3 linked regions of the Pelodiscus sinensis genome follow. The protein of the gene in region 3 binds, or shares a complex with, the protein of the main gene of each other region. Links are inferred from orthologs where the notes say so. Each region holds a gene or a part of one and is shown on either strand. Other genes may lie near its edges.

Region 1 (7,406 bases), on a different chromosome or scaffold from region 3:
CATGGTTCTTGTTGTTGCTATCAGGATAGGACAATGGAAAAGACCTATTTCTATTTGTAAGGTGCATCCTACAATCCTATTACACTAGCTAAGAGATGCTAAACTAACAGTATATATAAATTCTATACATTTTCATTAAAGAAAAAGTTTCAACGAGGCGGTCCCAAACCCAAGTTAATGATCAGAAAAATTGGATGAACAATGTGGTTACAAGGAATGCCAGACAAAGATAGGCAATTTACAGCAGGATGCCAAATTAAAGTTACTGTTAACAAATGTAATGTAACAAATTGGAAGGTACTTAAATTACTCACACAAAGTGCTACGATCTAAATAAACTATATCCAGAAAGGAAAAAGAGTTTCACTTCTTGAACACTGTTTGGTGTTCAGGACTAGTCATTCTATGTTGAAAAGGATACAGCAGAAAAAAACAATATCCAGAAACGGGTTACAAAAATTATGAGAAGTGTTGGGAAAAATACCAGATAAGAAGAGAAGAAAGAAGATAGAGGAACTTCATGCTTTTAGAGCATTCCTACCATGAGCTGCAACTAATCGCTCATCACCTTTATGCATGGGCAGGCTTGTGCCCATCCACCTCTTGATTCTTAGTAGGTGCAACTAATCACTGTGTTTGACTTTAAGCAAAGGTTACTATGGGTTGAACCTCTCTAATCTGGCACCCTCCAGACCTGACTGATGCTGAACCAGAAAATTTGCTGAACTATGGGAGCTCAATAATGTCTAACAACATTACTAACACTTCCACTGCTTAGAACACATTTAGGGATAAATGAGATCTAAATAACGGCACAGAACACTAAAATCCTGGAGCAGTGGCTGTAAACAAACTTTACAGGACCGTGGAGAAACTTGGTCACACCCATGATAAGTGGACATCTGGAACATCAAGGGAAAAACTATGCCAAATCTGACATTAATTTCTATTTGAATTTTTAAATGAATTGTAATGTTTTACAGATTCAGATTAAATTCTCTCATATGGATGTTTTTCTTTAAGATGCAACATACCTTATCTTGTGCTGTTAAAGACAGCATTGGAAATATATGTAGAAAACAAAAATATAATGTGTCATTGATCATGTAATCCCAACATAAAAAGTTGTTATTGATAATAGGTATTCTCAATAGGATCATATATTTTTAATTAAAATCTGTTTTTTCCCTCTTAGTGAAGGGCAAAATTCTCCTCTTATTTGAACATGATGTAAATGAAGAGCAATCCAATTTATACACTGTAACAAAGAGCAAATTTTTGCCCCATATTGTTTAAAAACTAAGGCACTTTGGGGTATTTTATTAAAGTTATTAAGGCAGTAATCTAGCAAATGCTTAGACACAAGCTCAGCTCAAAACTGCCATTAACACTGAGCCCTGTGGATAAATTTTAAGACTTAAATGTAACCACTTGTGTCTTTGCAGGGACCTAAAGAGAGACCAATTATACAATCTGTTTCTTGTAGACCAAACTGTTAAAAGCATTAAACCCAAAAGAAGTCAGCTGGAACATTTAGAGTTTGGGGGAAAAAATCTAAAGAGGGGACATAGAGTTTGGGGGAAGCCAAACACCGGGGGCTACATCTACACTACCAGCCTCTTCTGCAAGAGGAAATGCAAATGGAGCCCTCATTTGTATATGTCACATTCTCATTTGCATTTCCTCCTCGGATCCCTTTTGCGCAAGAAGTTTTTGCACAAAAAAGATGCTGTGTAGTCATCCTAAGTGTGATTTTGAAATATATGTTACATGTGTAACTTCATTCATCTTGTTAACTCCACTTAAATCAATAGGAACAACTCACATAAATCAAGTTACTTGCTTGTCTGCGGAAGTGGGCCTATACATAAACATAATGTATGCTTGTCTTTAAAACTTTTAACACAATTAAGGGATATTTTTTCAGTTAACATTTTCATCTATTAAATAAGATTTTTTGGGGGGGGATGTCAATGTGTAGAGGATCACATGATTAACAGATAAGGCTGGGCTTATTGGTTAATTCCGTTGACTACACACACAGAGGTAGCAAAGGTGGGGAAGGCAGCACCTGGTGCCAGTGGGACGGTGTGGTGACACTGGATCCCACAGAGCTGTCTGTCCCCCTATGCTGCTGCCTCCATATCAGAGGGACCGGTGCGGTAGGGAGTGAGGATGGTAGAAGCAGATACACATGGGCTATGTCTACACTGGCGAGTTCTTGCGCAAGAACAGCCATTCTTGCGCAAGAACCCACAGAGTGTCCACACTGCCCGCCTGCTCTTGCACAAGAAGATTTACAGTACAGTGTTGGAAGAAAGGGCTTCCCGTGCAAGAGCTATGTTCTTTTCTAACAAGTGTAAGCCCTCTTGCACAAGAGGACAGTGTGGATGCGCGGCCGGGGCTTCTTGTGCAAGAAAGCCCTATGGCTAAACTGGCCATCAGAGCTTTCTTGTGCAAGAGAGCGTCCACACTGCCATGGATGTTCTTGCGCAAAAGCACATGGCAGTGTGAACGTGTTCTTGTGCAAGAGTTCTTGTGCAAGAACCTGCCAATGTAGACATAGCCATGGAGAGCTGACTTTTAAGCCAGCTCTCCGTACATGTCATCTCCATGGAGCTGCCTGCCCCCCACCTTACTGCCTCCCAATGAGGTGGGGGGAGGAAGGCAGGAGTCAGTGTTCAAGGGGAGCAGGCTTAAAAAAGCTGGCTTCCCACGAGCATTGAGTCTGCTTCCCTTTCCCCCCACACTGCTACCTCTGTCAGATGCAGTGGTGCAGGAGGGCAAGCAAGGGAGGCTGCTATGGAACAGCCTCTGACTGCAGTGGGCCCTGGGCTTGCCTACAGCCCCCTGCTGATGGCAGGGGGCTCCCTGTGAGTGGGGTCTGGAGCACACAGTCCTCGGGGCAGGGCCAGGGCCAGGGCCAGGGCCAGCAGCCAATCCAACAGTCATGTAGTGACTAAAAATTGATGTGGTTACACAATTATTCAATTACATGGTATCTAACATCCTCCCTATCTTTTCCAGAATATTGATCTCATATAGTTGTCTGTTTTCAATGGTTTTACACAATTCTTTCTGATAAAAATGTTACAATAAACTATTGTTAAAACATTATCCAAATTCCAAAAAATACGCTATTCGTGTGTATCTCAACTCCACTGTATTTTTAAAATCAGAACATTCTCATGATTGTGGTTAGACTGAAATCAAGGGGAAGAACAGCCCAGCAACCCAGGTCCTGGGCCATATTGTCCAGTACAGTATACAGGAAAAACAGGGTGGTGGTGCAAGTTGTGTGTGAGAATTTGGTCCGGTGTTGTGAAATGTAGTTTTTCCTCAGTAATTTAGTTACTTTGGGGAGCCTATTTTAAAAGCCAGTTCTTTTGTTAGGTGTTAGGGAGGGATAGTAATCCCTGAAATGTTGAATCTGATTGAAATTCTTGGGGAAGCCGTTCTTGGAGGTGATTACCATATTGGAAAGCAGCTCTTGGGGGATGTTTGGGGCAATTTGTGGGGGGGGGACACAGACTGTTGTGAGCGAACACTACCCATGGCAGTGTGTGTAGTCTCTTGGGCCGTGTCCAGACTCAGGGGTTCTTTCGAAAAAAGTAGCCTTTTTTCGAAAGAACTTCCCCTGCGTCCAGACTCAAGCCGCGTTCTTTCGAAATTATTTCGAAAGAATGCGGCTTTTCTTTCGATGGCGGTAAACCTCAATTTACGAGGAAGAACGCCTTCTTTCGAAAGTTTCTCTTTTGAAAGAAGGCGTTCTTCAATGTAAAGAGGCCATCTTCGAAAGAGAGCATCCAGACTCGCTGGGTGCTCTCTTTTGAAAAAGCGGATTTCTCTTTCGAAAGATCCGCCTGCAGTCTAGACGCGATCTTTCGAAAGAGGCTCTTTCGAAAGATGCTTTCGAAAGAGCCTCTTTCGAAAGAAGCCTGCAGTCTAGACATAGCCTTGGTGCAGTACGGAGCAATATGCTTGTGTTAAAAGAAGTTCCTTTGTGTGGCCTGAGGGAGCAGAAGCAGGGCACTTGTGTTTGTGTGAGGAGGAAGGAGTGGGGGCTGTTGTGAGCTGTGTGTGTGTGTGAGAGGACTGTGGGGCTGTCCCAGAGTGTGGGGGGGGGGGGGGGGGGAGGAAGGGGGAGAGTGCAAGTACTGTAGGAGCAGAGTGGCTGGGCTCGGGGAGGGCGGCCGCCGGAGTTGCGGCTTGGCGGCCCTAGCACAGCCCGGCCGTAGGCGGCAGCACCGCAGAGCGCCAGTGCCGGAGCGGCCCCTCTTGGCGGGCCGCGAGCGGCTTCTGGGTAAGGTCAGGGCGGCGGTAGCGGAAGCTTCTCCCCGTTCAATATCCCGGAAGAACCGGCGCCACCTCCCGCTCCCCGCCTAGCGACCGGGCCCATGACACCCGCCGCCCCTGCCCCCCGCCGCAGCTGACACCGCGAAGGGACCTGCCCGGGGACGGCGGCCGGGCCCCCGCAAATCCCCGCTCCGGAGCCTCCTATATGGGCCACCTGCTCTCGAGGGAGGGAACCAGCCTGAGCGGGGAGAGGAGCCGCCGCCGCCGCCGCCGGAGAAAGGTGCCGCAGCGCAGCCGGAGCTGCTTTCTGCGCGGGCCCTGCATGCTCTGCTTCATCGTGCACGGCGCCAGCACGCCCGCCCCGGAGCAGCCCCTGCCCGGCCGGGACTCGCCTCGCTGCGCGGCCCTCAGCTCCCCGGAGCAGCGCGCCGCCCGCCGCCTCCTGCACCTCCCGCCCGGCGCCTGGGAGCAGCGGGGCCCGTGTCAGCGCCTGCTCCTGTCGGGCCTGCTGCCCCCGCCCGTGCGGGCCTTCCTGGGCTCAGCGCGGCCGCCCGGCGAGCCGGCCCCCGACATGGTGTGTAAGCGCAAAGGGGCCGGCCTGCCCGCCTGCCCTCCCTGCAAACAGCCCCGCTGCGCCGCCGCCCCGCCGGAACCGGAGGCCGCCGCCTGCCAGTGTCCGAGCGAGCAGCAGCAGCTCTGCCCCCTGCCCTGTGCCACCGACCGCGCTGCCAGCGCTGGGGGGCCGCCGCTCAGGGGCCCGGCCGGGGAGAGCAGCGGCGTGGGGGAGCTGGCTCCGGCTCCTGAGCTGCCCCCGCCGTACGAGGAGGAGGAGGAGGAAAGCAACGAGCCGGAGCGACAGGAGCCGCCCGAGAACCACAGCGAGTGCTGCCGAGAGCCGCCGCTATCGCCTCCCTCCGACATCAACCAGCTACCGCCCTCCATCCTGCTCAAGGTGAGTCTGGATGCGGGCCTGACCCCGCCGCGGGGACGGTGATTCCTCGCAAGCGGCTTTAGAGGGAGCCAGAGTTGAAAGTGACTCTGTGGTGCTGCTCAGGGAGCTGTCAGGATGGTGAGAAAGGGCCGCCTTTCTTCCTTGCGGGGCTCTGGCTATGGATATGCAGGGTATGTCTCCTCGCTGCACCCACACACCCAGGGGGATGACCTGTGTCAGCTGACTCGGTTTCAAGGGAATCAGGATAGAGATCTGTTTAATGGGGCATAGAGATATTTGGGTTGTTGCATCAGGGGTAGGAGACAAGGCAACGTTAGACCAAGGTTAGTGGGACTTGAGCTTGCTGACTAATGTTCAGGAACCCTGGCATTGAGTGTCTGAATTATATTTAACACCTACCACAAGCTTTTTCTAATCTGGGTTCAAATTCTAGGGTTCTGGCATCCACATTGTAGTACACAGATCTGATTTAAAGCTTCCAAAGTACCTACCATGTAGCCTGTTCCCTAAAAGGTGGAAGCTTTCATTCTTAGACTTGGGTAGTGTAGGAAACTTTACTGCCAGCTCTGTTACCAGGAAAAAGCTTATTTTGCAGAAGGTGTGATTAGATTGCTTTCTGTTGCAAATTCCGGAGGTCTCTGAACTTGTGCTTGCAGGTCAGTGGTCAGAAAGAATGGTTCAGTGCTGACTTGAGCTGCTGCCTTTTGCCAACTGTATGTGGGAGGTGAAAGTCTTCCGTTTTCAATGGTGGATTAAAGATTATTGGGATAAGGAAGACTAAGGAATCTTGTTCAGTGGAATTATGGTGTATTTCCAGATGGCTCTCAGGACTTCAGTCAAATTTGAGCGCATTTGCACTGCAAAGCAGTAGGGCTCAGAAGCTGGGTCCCAGGTTGACTCCAGCTTCTGTGTCAAAGCACTGGGATTGCACAACTGCAGTGTAGATCCTAAGGAGTTAGCTTTGATCCTGGGCTGAATCACAGGTGTATGAGCCAGTACAAACATACCCTGGAATCCTGCTTTTGCGCTTCAGGTTTACTGCTTTTCTTCACTAAGGCTTGTAGGTATGTTTACATCAATACATAAAGTTAATACTCTAATAGGCACATGTAAGAGATTTCACATAGAGACAAATGCTGATCCTGTTGCAGTGAGTATGAGCAGGATCAGACCCCCCTTTTTTTTTCTGAACAGTAGACAAGAAATAGTATCCTCTTATGTCCCTCCTCCCACCCCACTATGCAGATACTCAGGGATAAGTCAAACTCAAGTCTTCCTTTTCCACAGAATTAAATTGATCTACTTCAGGTTAACATATGGCTACCACAATAATTATTGCTGTTTTTCATGTTCACATTGGCCCCCCCACTGCTCGTGGTGCATGTTGTCGTGAAGAGTGCTTGTATGGATAAAAGTGAAACATTGTGGGGAGTGAAAGAGGAGGTCCCTTATTCCTTCATCTCAGGGGCTGACAGCGGGAGCTGGGAGGGCAAGGATCCAGTGGTGAACTCAGGATGGGACTGACAGCAGGGTAGCAGGGCTCCTATATCTGATTTCCAGATCAGGGCTGACAGTCAAGAGGTTATGTAGGTCTGGAGTCTCAAACACATAGCTCGTGAGCCATTTGCGACCTGAGCAGTTGCACAATCTGGCCTGCACGTGGCTGCTGGCGTGTGAATCCCTGTGACTCTGGGGGGTTCCTGTACTCTTCTCCCAAGTCCAGTCGCTGCTCTACCCCACCTGTTCCCCACAGGGACATAGCCTAAGTGATTACTGGGGACAACCTCTTCCCTGGCCCTCACCATAGTGGTAGGAGCTGCAGAGAAGTGGAGTAATGTAGCAGCTTCTGCCACAATATACCAGTCTAGCCTGGTTGCTTTGCTTCACCATGGCAGCAGGAAGTGGAATGTTCTAGCCCCACACCGGGCTTAGGAAATGGCAGTAGAGCAGAGCAGGCTGCTGTGTTGCTCTACTTTCCCATAGCTCCTACACTCATGGTGAGTACAGGGGGGCCTGATCCCTAGTGCTGGCCACAGCCTGCCCAGAACTCTGCAGCATAACCTGTGGGGAGCGGAAACGGGAGCCAGTGCTCATGGAGAGCTGGCCTAAAAGCCAGCTCCTGCTCTCCCTTCCCTCTCCCCACATGTAAATATGTAAC
Region 2 (7,417 bases), on a different chromosome or scaffold from region 3:
CGCCCTAACAGCCACCTAAGACACAGCTGTGGCCACTGCCACATCCCTGTCCCCATCCACCAGAGCAGCCACACCACTCAACCTTCCAGTCCAGCAATGCAGGATGGCAGGGGATCCCAGAGAGTGGGTCTGGATTGCACTGACTGCCAGCCCTGCCCCACAGGTACCACAGAATAGTCAACTAATCACTAAGAATTCATGTGGTTAATTGACTATTTTATTACCTGCCATCTAACATCCCCATTGTACCACAGTAGCTAGAAATTCACATTGGCCATTGCAATGTATATAATTAACAATGGTATTTTACCTACCTCAAGTTCTTCAGCTAATGCACGGACCAGTGAATGACTATCAGATGGACCAGGCTCAAGTGCAGAGACCCACTCTATGCTCTGCTGTGTTCTCAGTAATCTACGGGCACATTCTCTCCACAAACGGCAAACACTGAAATACAAAGCTTTACTACAATACACAAAACAAAAACTTAGCAGCTGTCAACCATTTTTTTCTTGTTGACTTCTAAGTGTCTACCCACATTCTTGAGAAAATCTTACCCTTAAAAAAAAATTTCAAGTTTAAAACAGAGTGTAAACCAGGGCTACTTAACACATGGTGGGCTGCAGCCTGCAGTACAGTTTGGGTTTACGCGGGGCTCAACATGCGGCCCGCGGGTGGGATCTTTTGAACATGGCCTGCACTGGGAACACGCTCCATAATGGCAAACCAATATAACGATCTTCTGTTGATATGCATTTTAGTTGTTAAATTCCTGGACTGCCATTGCTCATTAAAAGTGCTGTGGAAAGATGGTAACTATTGAATTTTATTAATATCAGCGCAACTGACTTAAATAGGGCCTGCACATTGTGCAGTCTTGCCTAAATCTTTGTATTCCTGTCCATCAGTGTGAAAGAAGCTATTTGCATGTATTTGCATATATATTTGCATGTACGTGCAACCACACTTGAGTGGCAGCCCTCAGCATGTGCTGTATGATTGTGGCTGCCGGGGCTTCCAAATTGAGTAGCCCTGGTATAAACAGTGGATTAGTTTTCTACTAATTTTTATTAAAGCACAAACTGACTGCATTATTTGTATGGGTATTGTCCTAAGAGTTGTTTCCGATTTAAAAAAATGCTGTCAATTTTGACTACCTAATTCAGTACCAGTCAGAACAAATTAAGCAAATAATGGTGATGCTGGTCAAAAGGGCATATTGAATAATTCATTCTCAGCTCCTCTCTACAGCTCAAATATATAAATCAGTAAAACAAAATGGTGTTAAAGTCCAGATAATGTAACTTTTTTTAAAATATTGAAAGGACCGCATACTCCTTGTATTCTCAAAAAAGTATTTTTTCTTGTATCATTAGATTTGGTCACAAAATCTATTCTTCTGACTCATAAGAATTTAGTGCCAACAAAACTCAATGTATGTAAAGAACACAGTGATGTTTTTCTTCAAAAAAGAAAAATGTTGATTTGAAACATTCAGAAGCCCTTGGCTCATGTAACATAGTTAGTTTTAAAAGAAATGTGTCAAGCAACCACAAAACTCCTGCTTCCGTGGTTTGTGTTGCAGCTCTGCTAACCAAAGCAGCTGTGCTGCTAGAGAAGAGCATTTACTGGAAGAACCCAAAGCGCTTCGGGGGTAGCCGGGCTGGTCTGTGATTCCAAAAGCCACGCACAGTCCCGCGGCGCGGCAGGGCCTGCTCTACATGGAGACACGGGATCCCGAGCGCTCGTGGGGAAAACACTTGTCATCGGACGAGCACAAATAATCCGTCAACGTTAACACGCGACAAGCGTTGTTACAAGCCCCGCCCACAAGCCGCTCCCCGCTCAGATAAACGCCTCGAGCCCATTCCTCGCCTGCTCAGAAACGAGGCCTGGCGGGCCTGCAGCTCCGACCTGCGCACCGGGCGCCAGGGGGAAGCAGCGGGGACGCGAGGCCAGGCCCGATGCGGACTAAGAGGAAACCCAAGGCCGCTCCTCACCAGGCTGCCCGCAGCAGCGCCTTGGTGGGCAGGAAGCTCAGGACCCGCTCCACCACCACGCACAGGTTACTCAGCACGTAGGCCCGTTTGCCGTCCAGCTCCATGGCAACTGCGCCCACGGCCTTCCTCGCGACCCAGGCGGCGCACTCCGAGTACGTCATCCGTAAGGCGCCCACTTCCGGTCCGCCTCTAACGCACGTCATCTGCTCGCGCGGGATCCGGCGGCTAGCGTCTGAGCAGTGGCCACGTGACCTGATGAATGACGCGGGGAGTGACTCGCTAGTGGGCGTGGCTAGCGCGGCACGCGGCGCGTTGGGTTCTGCTCCCTGCTGCGGAGCAGGGTGGAGGCGGCTGTGGGGTGGCTGACCCCGCCCGGGCCGGAACGCGCAGCAGCAGACACGGCCGGACGGGATCTGCCGTGACCCCGCGCAGCAGCTCCAGGCTGACCGCTTCCGGCGACTCTCCGAGGGGGGGCCGCCAATGGGAGCGAAGAGGCTGCAGCAGGGGTAGTGCTGCTGTCTCCCCTGTGCAGAGCAGAGCGCCACGTGGAGCTGCCAGCCGCCTCCAAGGAAATGCCTTAGAGCCTGCACCTGGAGCTCCATCTCCTGCAGCTGCTCACCACCTGAAACCTCTTCATGCGCATCCCCCCCCAACCATTTCCTCCCAAACCTTGCACCCCCTTCTACTAGCGATGCTAAAAACTCATTATTTTATAAGCCATTGAAATTTACAGTGGCTACACCTTTACACAGAGGGAGGCATAGGGAGCCAGCTTTTTTAAGTAGGCAGCCCATGAGCACCAACTCTTGCCTCTCCCCACCCCTGGGCGCATTGCTACCTTTGATTCTGAGATAGCGGGCAGGGAAGAATGGAAGGGGCTGTGTGTAATCATTTGGCCAGTGGTTCTCAAATTCTTTGGCCTATGGACCACCTGGCTCAATGGAAACCTTTCTGTGGACCACCAGTTGCTAATGGAAACTCACCGTTAATTACATAATTTTGCCCAAGACATTTTGCTAGTGCTGCAACTAGGGAAACTGATTTAATTTAACTTTCTCATGTTTATCAAACTTCATTTTAAATAATAAAATATTAATTTATGTCCAACACAAAAGGTTTCAGTGTTTTCTTTATGGCAGTTGTGGGGAATCATTTTTTGTGTCAGGGACCACTGACCCACAGAGAAATCAGGTGGGGACTACATAAGTGAGAAGCAAAAAAGCTATTCCCCAAACCCTCACTGCTGTGGCCCCCCAACTGAGATACCTCACTCCTCTGGCACTCAAGCCCCACGGGGGAAGGGAAGACCAAGGTTCAGGGCTTCTCAGAGGCCAGATTTACTTTCCTGTGGTTCCAGAGTTAGTGGATTTTATGGATCCCCTTGGGCTCTGGGGTGGGGGGAAAATGAGGTGTTCAGTGTGTGGGACAGGGCAGCCCGTGGATGGGCTAGGGAAGGGATTCAGAATCTGGGAGGGAGGTGGGGTGCAAGGTTTGGGTGGGAAATAGGGTGCAAAAGCAGGCTGGAATAGGAAGACTGACAGGGGGAAGGTGCAGGAGCAAGAGAGGGTGCAAGAGCAGGCTGAAGGTAGGGTGTTTGGCCAAGAGAGGGGTGCAGAAGCAGCCTGAGGGTAGGGTGTCTGGCTAGTAGGGAGGATATATGAGCAGTTCAGGGGCAGGGTGTCTAGCCAGGGGTAGGAAGTGCCTGGGGCTAAAGCTGGGGGCAGAGCAGCTGAGAGGATTCAGAGAGATGGGAGCATGGTGCCCCTGGGAATAGGCCGGGGGGGGGGGGGGGGAGAGGGTTCAGGGAAATGGAGGGGTAGGGAGGCTGGGCATGGCCCGGGTGGGTGGGTAGGTGACCCCGGGGTATCCAGTCCTGCAGGGGTCCAGTCCATGGCATCCTCAAGGACCGAGCCATTGCTTGACTCCTCCCCCAAGACTGAGTCCCCATGGGTGCAAAGCAGTGTTCCCTCTAAGATTTTCCATTCATGAGGAGCGAGTTTTGTGTACCAATATTGAGGTCATGTGCACTTGTTCAGATGTGTGCCACTGTGGCACCCAAGTTATAAACTTCTCCCTTTTCCCCTCTGTTGTCATATCTCCCATTCTGCCCTTGCCTCATCTGCTCTCCTGGTGCCTGCTGCATGTCAGGACTGCTGCGTAACTTCTTGCTAGTTGTCTGGAGCTTCCTCTGTCTCAGCCCTGCTTCAGGGACTGAGAGGCAGGACACCAGACACCGTGACTGCAGCCCTATAGGCTGGGAACAATCAGGAACTACACAGCATGGTGCAGCAGCTAGCAGGAAGCCTGCCATCCAATGGTGCATTGCTGACTGGAGTGACCAGTTATCCCAGTCCAAAACAGGATGCCTGATCACCTTAGTTGCATATATAGGTGAGTGATTTTTAAGGCACGGGCTCTAGCTGGATTAGAGCTTATCAACACTAATCGGGCCTTCTGATTATGTGCATAAGAAAAAAGGTACACAAACATCCAGCAGCATATTTTAAATTAAAATGGTCCCAATCCCCACACAACATTTTACTTTATAGAGAAGTAATGATTAAGCTAACTGCATAGTTGCTCATTAGGAAAGAAGTGAAAAATAAACTAATTTTAATATCACATACAAAAAAAGCAGATGAAGCAGATATGGGTAGCTGTAGCACCCATCAATGCTTTAAGTGTCATTTTAGAAACCCAAGAAGCTGTTGTTTAGCGCAAAAGCGTATCTATCTCTTCTACCAACAAAAGATGTTCCAAGATCTCACCCACCTTTTCTCATAATCCTGGGATCCAGTACAACTACAACAATATTGCAAACAACTTTCAGAAATGGTCAGCAGTTTCTATGTTAATGTTCCTTTAATGCAGATTTCTATACAGAGAGTAAAACTTGAAAGTTACTTTAGTATCAACATCTGTATTGAAAGTGACATTTCCCATGCCCATGCAGCTCAACACATTTTTGCCCTATATTCCCATAGAACATTGCCACTATAAGTAGAGTTGAGGTGCACTCACTGCATTTTTAATTTTTAGGTTTAGAAAGATTTTCCATTTTTTCAAGGTGAATGGGGGTCAAACTCAAATATGATCTTACTGCAAAACAATTATTTTGTTTCCTGTTTCTGATTTAGATTGTGAACTCAACACAAGGATTCTTTGACAAAGGGAAGTGTGAGGCAGCACAGTACTGTTTGCTTCCACTTGCCAAATTAGGTAATTTGGCTGCTGTGCTAATGATTTTCAGCTCTGTCTGTGACTGAGTAGGTTTCTGGTTTTCCTAGCAAGATCAGAGGAATTAGATAAAGGCTGCAATGGGAGGCTTGATTCCAAGAAAGTTTAAGGTGTCTGGATGGGGAGGAAAGTGAAATGAAAGAGGTGAAAGATTGAATCTGATTGCTTTCCTTCCATTTGCTCACTTGGGCTACATCTACACTGCAGGCTTCTTGCACAAGAAGCCTTTTGCACAAGAGTTTTTGCACAAAAATTTCTTATGCAAAAGCACGTCCTCACCTCAAAGCACATTGCAAAAGTGATGTGGTTTTGCGCAAGAGAGTGTCCACACTGCATGAATGCTCTTGCGCAAGGAAGCTCTGATTGCCATTCACAGAAAGGCCATGTTTATGGCCATGCTTTTTCCCACAGGCACAAGAAACCCCTCTGGAGCATCCACACTAGCCTTTTTGCACAATAGCTGTAGCGCAAAAAGGAGTTATGCCTCGTAAAAGGAGGTTTACCTATGCCGGAAAAAGCCCTCCCTTCTGCCGTTTTACGGTTAATTTACTTGCACAAAAGCACATTTGAGGTGTGGCTGCTCCACGGGTTTTTGTGCAAAAACAGCTGTTTTTGCGCAAAAACCTTGCAGTGTAGATGTAGTCTTGTTGGTTAATGAGACATGCAGTTTGAAAGTCCCTTTGATGTTAGAGGATAAAGTAGCAGCAGTGGAATACTTCTCATCTGTGGCTGGGCAAGTCAATCTCTCCCCCCACCCTCGACTCCTTATGGGCCTTATTACCATTGATCCATGTGATTTTTATATTTAGACCAAAGGTGGGGAACCCTTTTGGGTCAGGGGCCGCTGACTCATAGAAAAGTCAGGCAGGCAGGGGGCAGCAGGGGCTGAAGTGCCAGCAGAGGCTCCCCACTGCTGGGGGGGAAGAAGTCCTGAGTCTCGGGGCTGGATCCTGGCAAGCTGGGTCATAGGTTCCTCAGTCTATAGACTATAATGCATTTTATGGGCCCATACCTAAAGTAGGAATGTTAAGGACTAGTTGACTATCCAATAAGCAAATACCCAGTCCCCAGCTGACCCCAGCTCCACGTGGCATTTCCAATTGGCACCACAGCATGGAGCCTGGGGTCAGCGGGGGACTTGAGTCCCCTACTGACCCCGGACTCCATGCTGCATTGTCACTTTGAAATACACAAGAACCCCTGCATATGAATTAGTCGAGTAGTTACTTAACATCCTTAACCTAAAGACAATTTAGGAACATTATCTAGTGCAGAATGCCCTAGTCTATATACTTAATGGAGCTTTTCACAGGATTATTTTACACCTGTGCTCATGAGCCTGAAATTCAAAGTGTTTTTAACCTGTTGACCAGTTTTTCCTTTTTATAAATTGCATTGGTTGGGAACACACACATGTATGTTTATGAACAGAAAGCTGTCTATATTTGAAGACTAACCACAAACAGAATAATTCTTAAAATGGTTCTTTATTCATAAACTTGATGCAAGTTTACAAATTACTGTACATTGCCAAATAATTCTGCAATGAAAAATGAAATTCAAAACAAAGCATGCCAAATGTGCATCTGTCAACCTGCTAGCCCATTAGAATATTAAAGAATTTAATAATGTATTCAAAGATTTTAGCCTCAGCTTTTAAGGAACTTTTAATGCTTAAAGTGTTCTGCCTCTCTCTTAAGGTTGCTGTCCGAGCAACTGGCTACCAAGATTGCATATGAATATATGTACAACCAAGTAAGCAGAAAGGCTGGCAAGTCATCCACTATGCTCCCTAGAAAACTATTTGAAACAAAGAGTACTTATCAGGAGTAGTGCCAAATTCCTTCATCTGTTCTTTCAAGCTAAAAACTGGATCTAGAAGCAAATGCACAAGGCCTCATGTGTGTCTGATAGAGAAAAGAAGAGCACAAATCTGATAGCTGTAACTTAAAAAACCCACATGCTTCTGGGCAAAAAAAAAGTGCTTAATCCATGGTACACACCCTTATATCAATCCCTGGCAGTACAAAGATCTAATCACTAATACTACAACCAAAATAGAATTGATTTAGATAAGGCAATGAAATATAGTAATTACACAGACCCAGATTCATTTCCAAAATAATGAAATAATAGTTCCTGTTAGTCTTTCAATAACAAAAAGTACTATCATGATTATT
Region 3 (7,372 bases):
GAACTGGCTTAAAAGCCATCTCGATGGGGCAGGGGAGGCAGAGGCATAGTGGGAGACTGGGTGCAAAGCAGGAATCAGTTGATTCCCGGCTTACTCCTGGTCCCCCCTGCTGAGCATCTGCCTTTTAAATGCGTTAAGAGCCTGGCAGTTCTTAATACATCTAAAAGGCAGAGCCATAGCGGAGTTTCCCCCCTTATCGACTAATTGAGTAGTAAATGGAAATTCCATTGACTACTCGATTAGCTGACTACCCACAATTTAACATCCCTAATTCAAAGTATAACAAAATTAATGAGTCTTGGTTCTAATTCTTAACAATGGAGACCTGAGGTTATATGCTTCATTACATACGTGCCATTGTACATTTAATAAATGTCATTTTTAATTTTTCACTCAGGTTCAAGAAGCAAGATACCATGGCCATCATTTTAGGTGGTGAACAAGGGTAAAAGCTTTTAATCTGAAAACAGACTTGAAGTAATGAGGAACTTTAATGACCCAGACATCTGTCTGAACAGCATGCCAGAAACCAAATTGTTCAATAAGTTCTTGGACCGTACTGTGGACCACTCTGTTTTAGAAAGTAGAGACAGTAACCAGGGGGACAGCCATTTAAGAGTTTGTGCTGAGTAGAGAAGAATTGACTGTAAGTTTTAAGGTGGTAGACAATCTGGGTGAAAATCATCATGAAATAATAGTTTTCTTGAGTATAAGGAAAGGTGGAAGTCAGAGCAGAGGAATAAGGGCAATTGACTTAGTACACTTTTACAAATTCAGAGAACTGTTATGTAAAGTACGTTGGAAAGAAAATCTAACAGATAAAGCAAGTTCAGGAGACCGGACAGTTTCTCAAGGAGACAACAGTAAAGACACAACTACAAATTATCCCAATTTAAAGAAACATAGGAATAGGAAGAGGTCAATATAACTATTAGGAGCCCTTTAAAATAAAAAAAAAATTCTACAAAATGCGGGAACATGGACAAATTGCTAAGCAGGGGTGCAAAAGAATAGCACAAGCACATAGAGTTACAAAATTTACAGAACAAAATGAATTACACCTACCAAGAAACATAAGTTCTTTAATTATATTAGAAGCAAGAGAGAGTGAGAGAAAAATATGTCTTTTACTTTTCAGGGAAGGAGCGCTAATAACTGTGGACATAAAGGCTGAAGTTTTCACTAAGAAGATTAATGATGATCAGATATTTAACACAATTAATATGAACAAAGGGGGAGGGGAAAGGAAGCCAAAATAAGGAAAGAACAGGTTAAAGAATATGTACGTAAGCTAGATGTACTGAAGTTAATATGGTACTGAAATTCATCCTAGAGTAGTTAAGGAACTAGCTGAACCATTAATTATCTTGGAGAATTCTTGGAGGACAGGTGAGGTTCCAGAGACCAGCAGAAGGATAAACTTATACCAATCATTAAAAAGGGGAACAAGAAGATCCTGGGAGCACTCACCTCACTTCAATATCTGGGACGATATAGGAGCAATTAAAATTAAACAATTTGAAAGCAACCAAATGATAACAGCATTATAAGTTACACCCCGCAGAAAGCGCTTTCACTAAGACATGTGGCACAGTCCCATATAACGTTTTATAAGCAAACTAGGGAAACACAATGTAAATTTAATTATTATAAAAGGGGTGCACTAGTTGAAAGACAATCACACGATTAGTTGATAAAGGGAGCCACTCTGCAGAGCCACAGTGGGGATAGTTCCCAGCTCACACCTGCTCCAGAAATGCTCAGTCCCAGCTTGCACCAAGTCTAGCAGCCCCTCTTCGTGGCAGCCTGAGTTGGCCGCAGGCAGGGGCTGCTGCTGGAACGGCCTCTGCCCATGGCCAGCCCAGACCCCTGTGGACAGGGCCTGCCCTGAAACAGTCTCAGCTTGCTGCAAGCAGATAGAGATAGGCTGATAGAGGCGGGGAAAGCAGCACTACAGAGACAGTGCTGAAGGGAAACCAGCTTTTAAGCGGACTTCCCCCCAGCACCAGCTCCTATTCTCCCCCTTGCTGCCTCTCATAAAGAAGCAGCAGTGGGGGAAGGGGGAGAGGAGAAGGAGGAGGGAGAGAGGGAGTAGTCAGGTACTCAGCTACTCGCTTACATCCCTATTTGGTATTATTATGAATGACTCAGATAACATTAATAGGAAACCCACTTTTAAAAGTTGATGATGACACCAAACTAGGAGAGATTGCACATACTTTGGAAGATAGGATTGGAATTCAAAGTAATCTTGATAAAATGGAAAGTCAGTCTAAACAGATTAAATTCAATAAAGACAAGTGCAAATTATTTCACTCATGATGGAAAAAAAATGCTCAACTGCAAGATACAGAATAACTAGTAGAGATGCTGAACGGAATATAGGAATAATAGTGGAACACAAATTGAGCCCACAGTATGTTGCAGTTGTGAAAAAAAGCATTCTGGGATGTATTAACGGAAGTGTTGTGTATTTAAGCCAAGGAATGTTACTGTCCAATTGTAACAGTGTGATTCACCAGCACAGTGCCTCCTGTTGGACACTCTGGGAATTAGGTTTTTAGCTCTGGAGCACTTCCTTTCAGCAGGTGTCATTCTTCCTATGAGCTCTGCCACTCTGTTAGGACTCACACTCTTCCAAGACTATGGTACCCTTTCCCCTTGGTACTCTCCTGCTGCAGTGCCTCCACACTCTGTGGTCTTCCCTTTCTAGGAACCCTTAACTCCCTATGTCCCCCCCCTTGCCTCAGAGACTCACTGCCAATCTCCATCTAGCCCCTGCCAGAGGGATAGACTGCAGTCTGAAATGACCACTCATCATAGGCAAGAGAGTGTGGACCTACTACCTTTGCCTACCCTGGCTGCCCCCCTGCAGAGGTAGTACTTGCCTAGGAGAGCTTCCCCAGCACTGCTCTAAGTTAGGAAGCCTCTAGCTTCCCTGGTAGCTAGGTCCCTTCTGCTCTACAGCTGGAGCAAGAGTGAATCCAAACCTCTCCTTTCCCTCCAGGAGCCTTTATTTATTTATACTTCCTTGAGATGGGCCCTAATTGGCTAATTCCTGCCAAAAGCTGCTGGCTCCACAGATCCACTGCTCCAGCCCTCTCCCAGGCTGGGTTTTAACCCTTAAAGGGCCAGTGTGGGGGCAAATGCCCCATCACACCCACTCTACTTGACACTGGTGAGGCCTCAGTTGGAGTTCTGTGATTAATTCTGGGTGCCACACAATGAAAAATGTAGACAAATTGGAGAGTTCGTAGGAGTCCAACAAAAATGAGGTTTAGAAAAACCTAACCTACGAGGAAGGATTAAAAGAACTTGGCATGTATTCTAGAAGAAGACTGAGGAAGGACCTCATAATAATTTTCAAATACAGCAAGAGCAATTATAAAGAGGACATTGATCAACTGTTCTCCCTGTTCACTAAAGGCAGGCTTAATCTGCAAGAGAGATTTAGGCTAGACAGCAGAAAAAAAATTCAAATCATAAGGGTGGTAAGCTCCGAAAGAGGCTTCCAAAAGAGGTTGTGGAAGTCTCATCACTGGAGAGTTTTAAGAACAGGTTAGACAAACACCTGTCAGGAACAGTCTAAGTTTATTCGGTCCTGTTTTGATACAGGGTGCTGAAGTTGATGAGCACTCATGGTCCTGTCCAGCCCTATGTTTCTGTAATTTCAACACATTTTTATTTCCTCAAAACTGCTGCAAGGTTTGGAGTTATTTGTTCCACTGTGGCAGAAAACCAAATTTCAAAAGTTTCCTTGCAATGGCATCGTTGCCTTCCTTAGCTCGAGTGCTTGGGGCTGGAGTCGCTCTGCTTCCTCTAAAGCTCGGGAATCCAGCCCACAACACTGACCAGCTAACATTGTGCAATGAGCATCTTCACAGGCTTCCCAACACAGCTACCTCACGTGAGAAAAGGGGCAAGCCTGGGAAACCCTAGCCAGGTAACAAGCCCCTGCGGATGGTTGGGAGTCTACATGCGGGTGAGCAGGGGCTGTGCACAGGCGGCCATGAGGCCTTGCATGGGGCCTTGGCTTTAGCGTGCGGTGCTAAACCCCGGATTCACACAGCGCGCGCCACCATGCCCCGGAGCGAGGAGCAGAACGTTCCAAAGCCCAACGGCCACGCTCGCGCCCCCCGGGGGCCACGCTAACAGCTCCGCGGCGGAAAGAAAGCGACGGCGCTGAGCCTGACGCGCACGCGCGCTGTAGTCAACGTTGGCGTCAGAGCGTCGACCGGGCCGGCAGCGTCCAATCAGCGGGCAGGAAGTGAGGGGTCGGGGCAGGGGGAGGAGGACTGTTGTTACGGGTCAGCTGATTCCTTCCCGTCGCCGCAGTTCGGGGCAGCTGAGCCCTGCCTGGGCCTGGGGAGGACGCGCCTGTCCCGCTGGCGGAAGGTGAAGCGGGGAGCGCAGCTGTTGGCGCCGCGGGGCTCTTCTGTGGCCGGTTCGGGGTCAGAACCCGCCTGGGGCTGTGGGACCCGCGCCGCCGCTGGAGGGGAGCTCGGCGAGCGGGGCCGTGTCTGCTCCCTTCCCCCGGCACCTGGGCCGAGGTGGGCAGCTGTCCGGGCGCCACGGGCCCTGAGCGCTGGCTCTGCCCTGGCTGCCCCCGCGCCGTTCCTGGTGAGCCGGGCGAAAGGAGCAGGGCTGCCCTCGGACCCGCGTTGGGACAGGTACGTAGCAGCTGCCGCCTCCGCGCCCGCGTGGCTTTGCGTTGGCAGGTTTTTCCATGAAGTCCGGCGCTCTCCGGAACCGGGCACTTCACTATTCATCGTTTCCCTGCTGCGTGTCCGCCGGCCAGTGTGCTTAGGGCTCACCCCACGCCTCCCCCGCCCCGGAAAATCGCCCTCCTCCTTTCAGACAAAGGAGCCCCTCAGTCTTACTAATTTGGTTTTAATGGTTTGGTTTGGATGAATCTCCTAATTGTGAGCATTACGGCGTCTCTCATCAATTGTAGAAGTCCAGCCGATTTCAATTTAGACTTTTCCGGGAAGATGTGCTTTTAGTCTGTACTGTGAGAAGCCTCGCATGTGACGGGCATTGGAAAATCAAATTGAAAATGACAATTACGGAGAGGTTGTCACCAATTTAATAGTTAAACTAGCAGTGAGAGGACCTGAATTGGCATTTTTAACACCATAATACTGCAGTAATTTCAAATTCATACAGACCTGCATCTTGCTAAGTGCTAATTATTTTTAATCAGTTGTGAGCAGTTATACAGTTCCAAAACATTACAGGATAAAAGACAAAATAGTTTGACACACCGTGTAGATCTCTGGGTGAAAAGAGAAAGCATGGCAGTATTGTTATACATAGCTACAACCCAAGGGAGCATGCCTAAAAACTATGGCTCCACAGTTAAAGAGTATGTCTATGAAAATCCAGGGAATGGTACAGTCCTCAGGGCCCCAGCAGGAACATCTACAGTGTTGTTTTTAGCCCTGCAAGGTGAGCCACAGAGCCCAAGTCATTGACCTGAGTGTTGCAACTTAGCACTATGGGTTTCTTTCCGTCATACATATACTCTGCAACCAATTCTGCTCCCCTGAAGGCTGAAGTACTGTAGTTGTCTGTTCTTTAAACTCAGAATCACATGACATAGCTGAAAATAAATATGAGTTTGAACTAAGTGTGCTGAGAGAATGTGGACATATATTTTCATGCTTTTGTGGGTTTGTCAATCTGTAAGTAATTGTACTGAATTAATTGAGACTACTCATGTGCATGAGTATCTGCAAGATTGAGGGCCTAATTTATGAATGGTTTGATGCTAAACAATTTCAAGTGTTTCATAATGGGAATTTTTAGGCACTGTTAACTTTTTTTATGCTAAAATCATCTGAAATTGTTTATGGCTGTTGATGTCAGCATGTGTTGTTATTGCCCTTCTCATTTGCTGTTGTTGGAATCACCCGGGGGGGGGGGGGGGGGGGGAGATCCTGCTTTCACATTTTATTACCCTAATATGACCATCACCATTGTGTGTAGTGTGAATGCAGTTTTTCATACATGATTTATAGGAGCAAGTCTCGAGTGCTCTTTTTTCAAAATTAGTGAAATTATAATCTGGAGAAAAATAGATCAAGTAGGCATAATTCTTCTTTCATGTTAAATATGTTCAGAAAATGTATGCACATATGAATCCCCTACACACATCTGAGCACCCTGCACCAACTTTTCCAAGTGTTTGGTATGGCCAGACCTCTTAGTTCTTTTTTCAGATTATTTTTTGTTAAATTCTGTAGCTGTTGTGAGGATACGTCTACACAGCAGTGTTATTTCAGAATGACTGACATTATTCTGAAATAACATAGTGCACATCTACATTACAAGCCTCTATTTCGAAATACTGTTAAGCTGGAGGACTTCTTACTCCAATTCATGGTAACCGTCATTTCATGAGGAGTAAGGGAGGTCAAAGGAAGAGTGTTTATTCTTTTGACTTCCTACAGTGTAGACAGCACCAAAAGCTGAATTAAGCTGTTTTGACTTAAGCTATGCAGTTAACATAGCTGAAGTTACATAGCTTAATTTGACTTTAGCCCTACTGTGTAAATGCACCCTGATTATGGAAAGAATCTCTTTTTTTGGTTCTTTATTTGCTGCCTAGTTACTTGCAGGTATTGACCACACATGATTCCCTTCACTCAGGTGCAGTGATGCTTTTAACTTGAGTTGATTGGCCCTAGAGGGGAGGGTAGCCCAGGGTTTATTTACAAAGTTGCTTTATTGCTCTGTAACTTTCTTGCTCAGGGGTGTAAAAAACATTCTTCTCTCCTCTCTCTTCCCGCCAGCTAGCAAGTTACAGTGCTGTCAAGTGCAGTGTAAACACACTCACAGTACTGTTAGCTACTCCCTTTGTGGCAGTGGTTTTATCTAGAGCCCATTGGTGCTGCATTTAAAACTTCAATGGTGACAACTTGTTGGCTGAATATGAGTTAGCATACCCCTTTTCCTGGGGAGTGCACAGCCAAAACTTGTCAGCTATTAGTTTTCATCCACTCTATTGAATGTGTTAGTGCTGATAGTCCTCCAGTACCTTCCTTATTTACTACCCTGCTCCCAGATATTACCAACGAGGAAGAATTCATAGTGCCCTGTTTACTGAAACAATAAAGCCATGCGATGTACCTCCAGAAAAACTAGTGCCACATAAATGAGTGCACTGCCTGTGTGGCTATAACTGTAATATTGTTTTACATGACCAATCGCTGGAGCAAGGCCAAAGCCTCATTTTTTCTAGAATAAGGCTTGTTCTTAACTTGCATTATGTAACACGAGAGTGTTATTAATTTTCATCTGAGTTAACAGGTCCCAGTGGAAATACCTAGGGTTTACTTGAATTAGCTAATTTGTGTGACTATTACAACTT

The links.
Region 1: the proteins of BACH1 (region 3) and FBXL17 are in contact, whole or in part, in a cryo-EM structure (PDB 8UAH), measured with the Homo sapiens proteins. The link is inferred for Pelodiscus sinensis from reciprocal best matches to the Homo sapiens genes BACH1 and FBXL17. Residues at the interface, in NP_001177.1 of Homo sapiens: Val20, Leu21, Ser23, Leu24, Gln27, Val32, Leu33, Asp35, Phe39, His48, Arg49, Ser50, Val51, Ala53, Ala54, Cys55, Ser56, Ser57, His60, Ser61, Arg62, Val64, Asn72, Thr74, Pro76, His116, Asn117; in NP_001156787.2 of Homo sapiens: Asp395, Arg421, Asn447, Gln473, Gln498, Glu499, Met524, Arg548, Cys574, Leu575, Tyr598, Val600, Ser601, Asp623, Trp626, Met651, Arg652, Val676, Gln678, Asp679, Cys680, Arg682, Thr683, Glu685, Gln689, Trp692.
Region 2: the proteins of BACH1 (region 3) and FBXO22 are in contact, whole or in part, in a cryo-EM structure (PDB 8S7D), measured with the Homo sapiens proteins. The link is inferred for Pelodiscus sinensis from reciprocal best matches to the Homo sapiens genes BACH1 and FBXO22. Residues at the interface, in NP_001177.1 of Homo sapiens: Ser7, Val8, Phe9, Ala10, Tyr11, Glu12, Ser13, Ser14, Val15; in NP_671717.1 of Homo sapiens: Asp366, Gly371, Asn372, Phe373, Ile374, Leu375, Arg376, Lys377, Cys378.

Annotation. Positions count from the first base shown.
Region 1 is NC_134716.1:63,827,145-63,834,550, forward strand, and holds the start of FBXL17 (F-box/LRR-repeat protein 17), read left to right. Parts: upstream 1-4,307; 5' UTR 4,308-4,501; coding exon 4,502-5,248; intron 5,249-7,406. UniProt on the Homo sapiens protein: Substrate-recognition component of the SCF(FBXL17) E3 ubiquitin ligase complex, a key component of a quality control pathway required to ensure functional dimerization of BTB domain-containing proteins (dimerization quality control, DQC).
Region 2 is NC_134724.1:31,595,796-31,603,212, reverse strand, and holds the start of FBXO22 (F-box only protein 22), read right to left. Parts: upstream 3,096-7,417; 5' UTR 2,603-3,095; coding exon 2,001-2,602; intron 448-2,000; coding exon 315-447; intron 1-314. UniProt on the Homo sapiens protein: Substrate-recognition component of the SCF (SKP1-CUL1-F-box protein)-type E3 ubiquitin ligase complex that is implicated in the control of various cellular processes such as cell cycle control, transcriptional regulation, DNA damage repair, and apoptosis.
Region 3 is NC_134711.1:181,342,418-181,349,789, forward strand, and holds the start of BACH1 (transcription regulator protein BACH1), read left to right. Parts: upstream 1-4,279; 5' UTR 4,280-4,670; intron 4,671-7,372. UniProt on the Homo sapiens protein: Transcriptional regulator that acts as a repressor or activator, depending on the context. Binds to NF-E2 DNA binding sites. Plays important roles in coordinating transcription activation and repression by MAFK.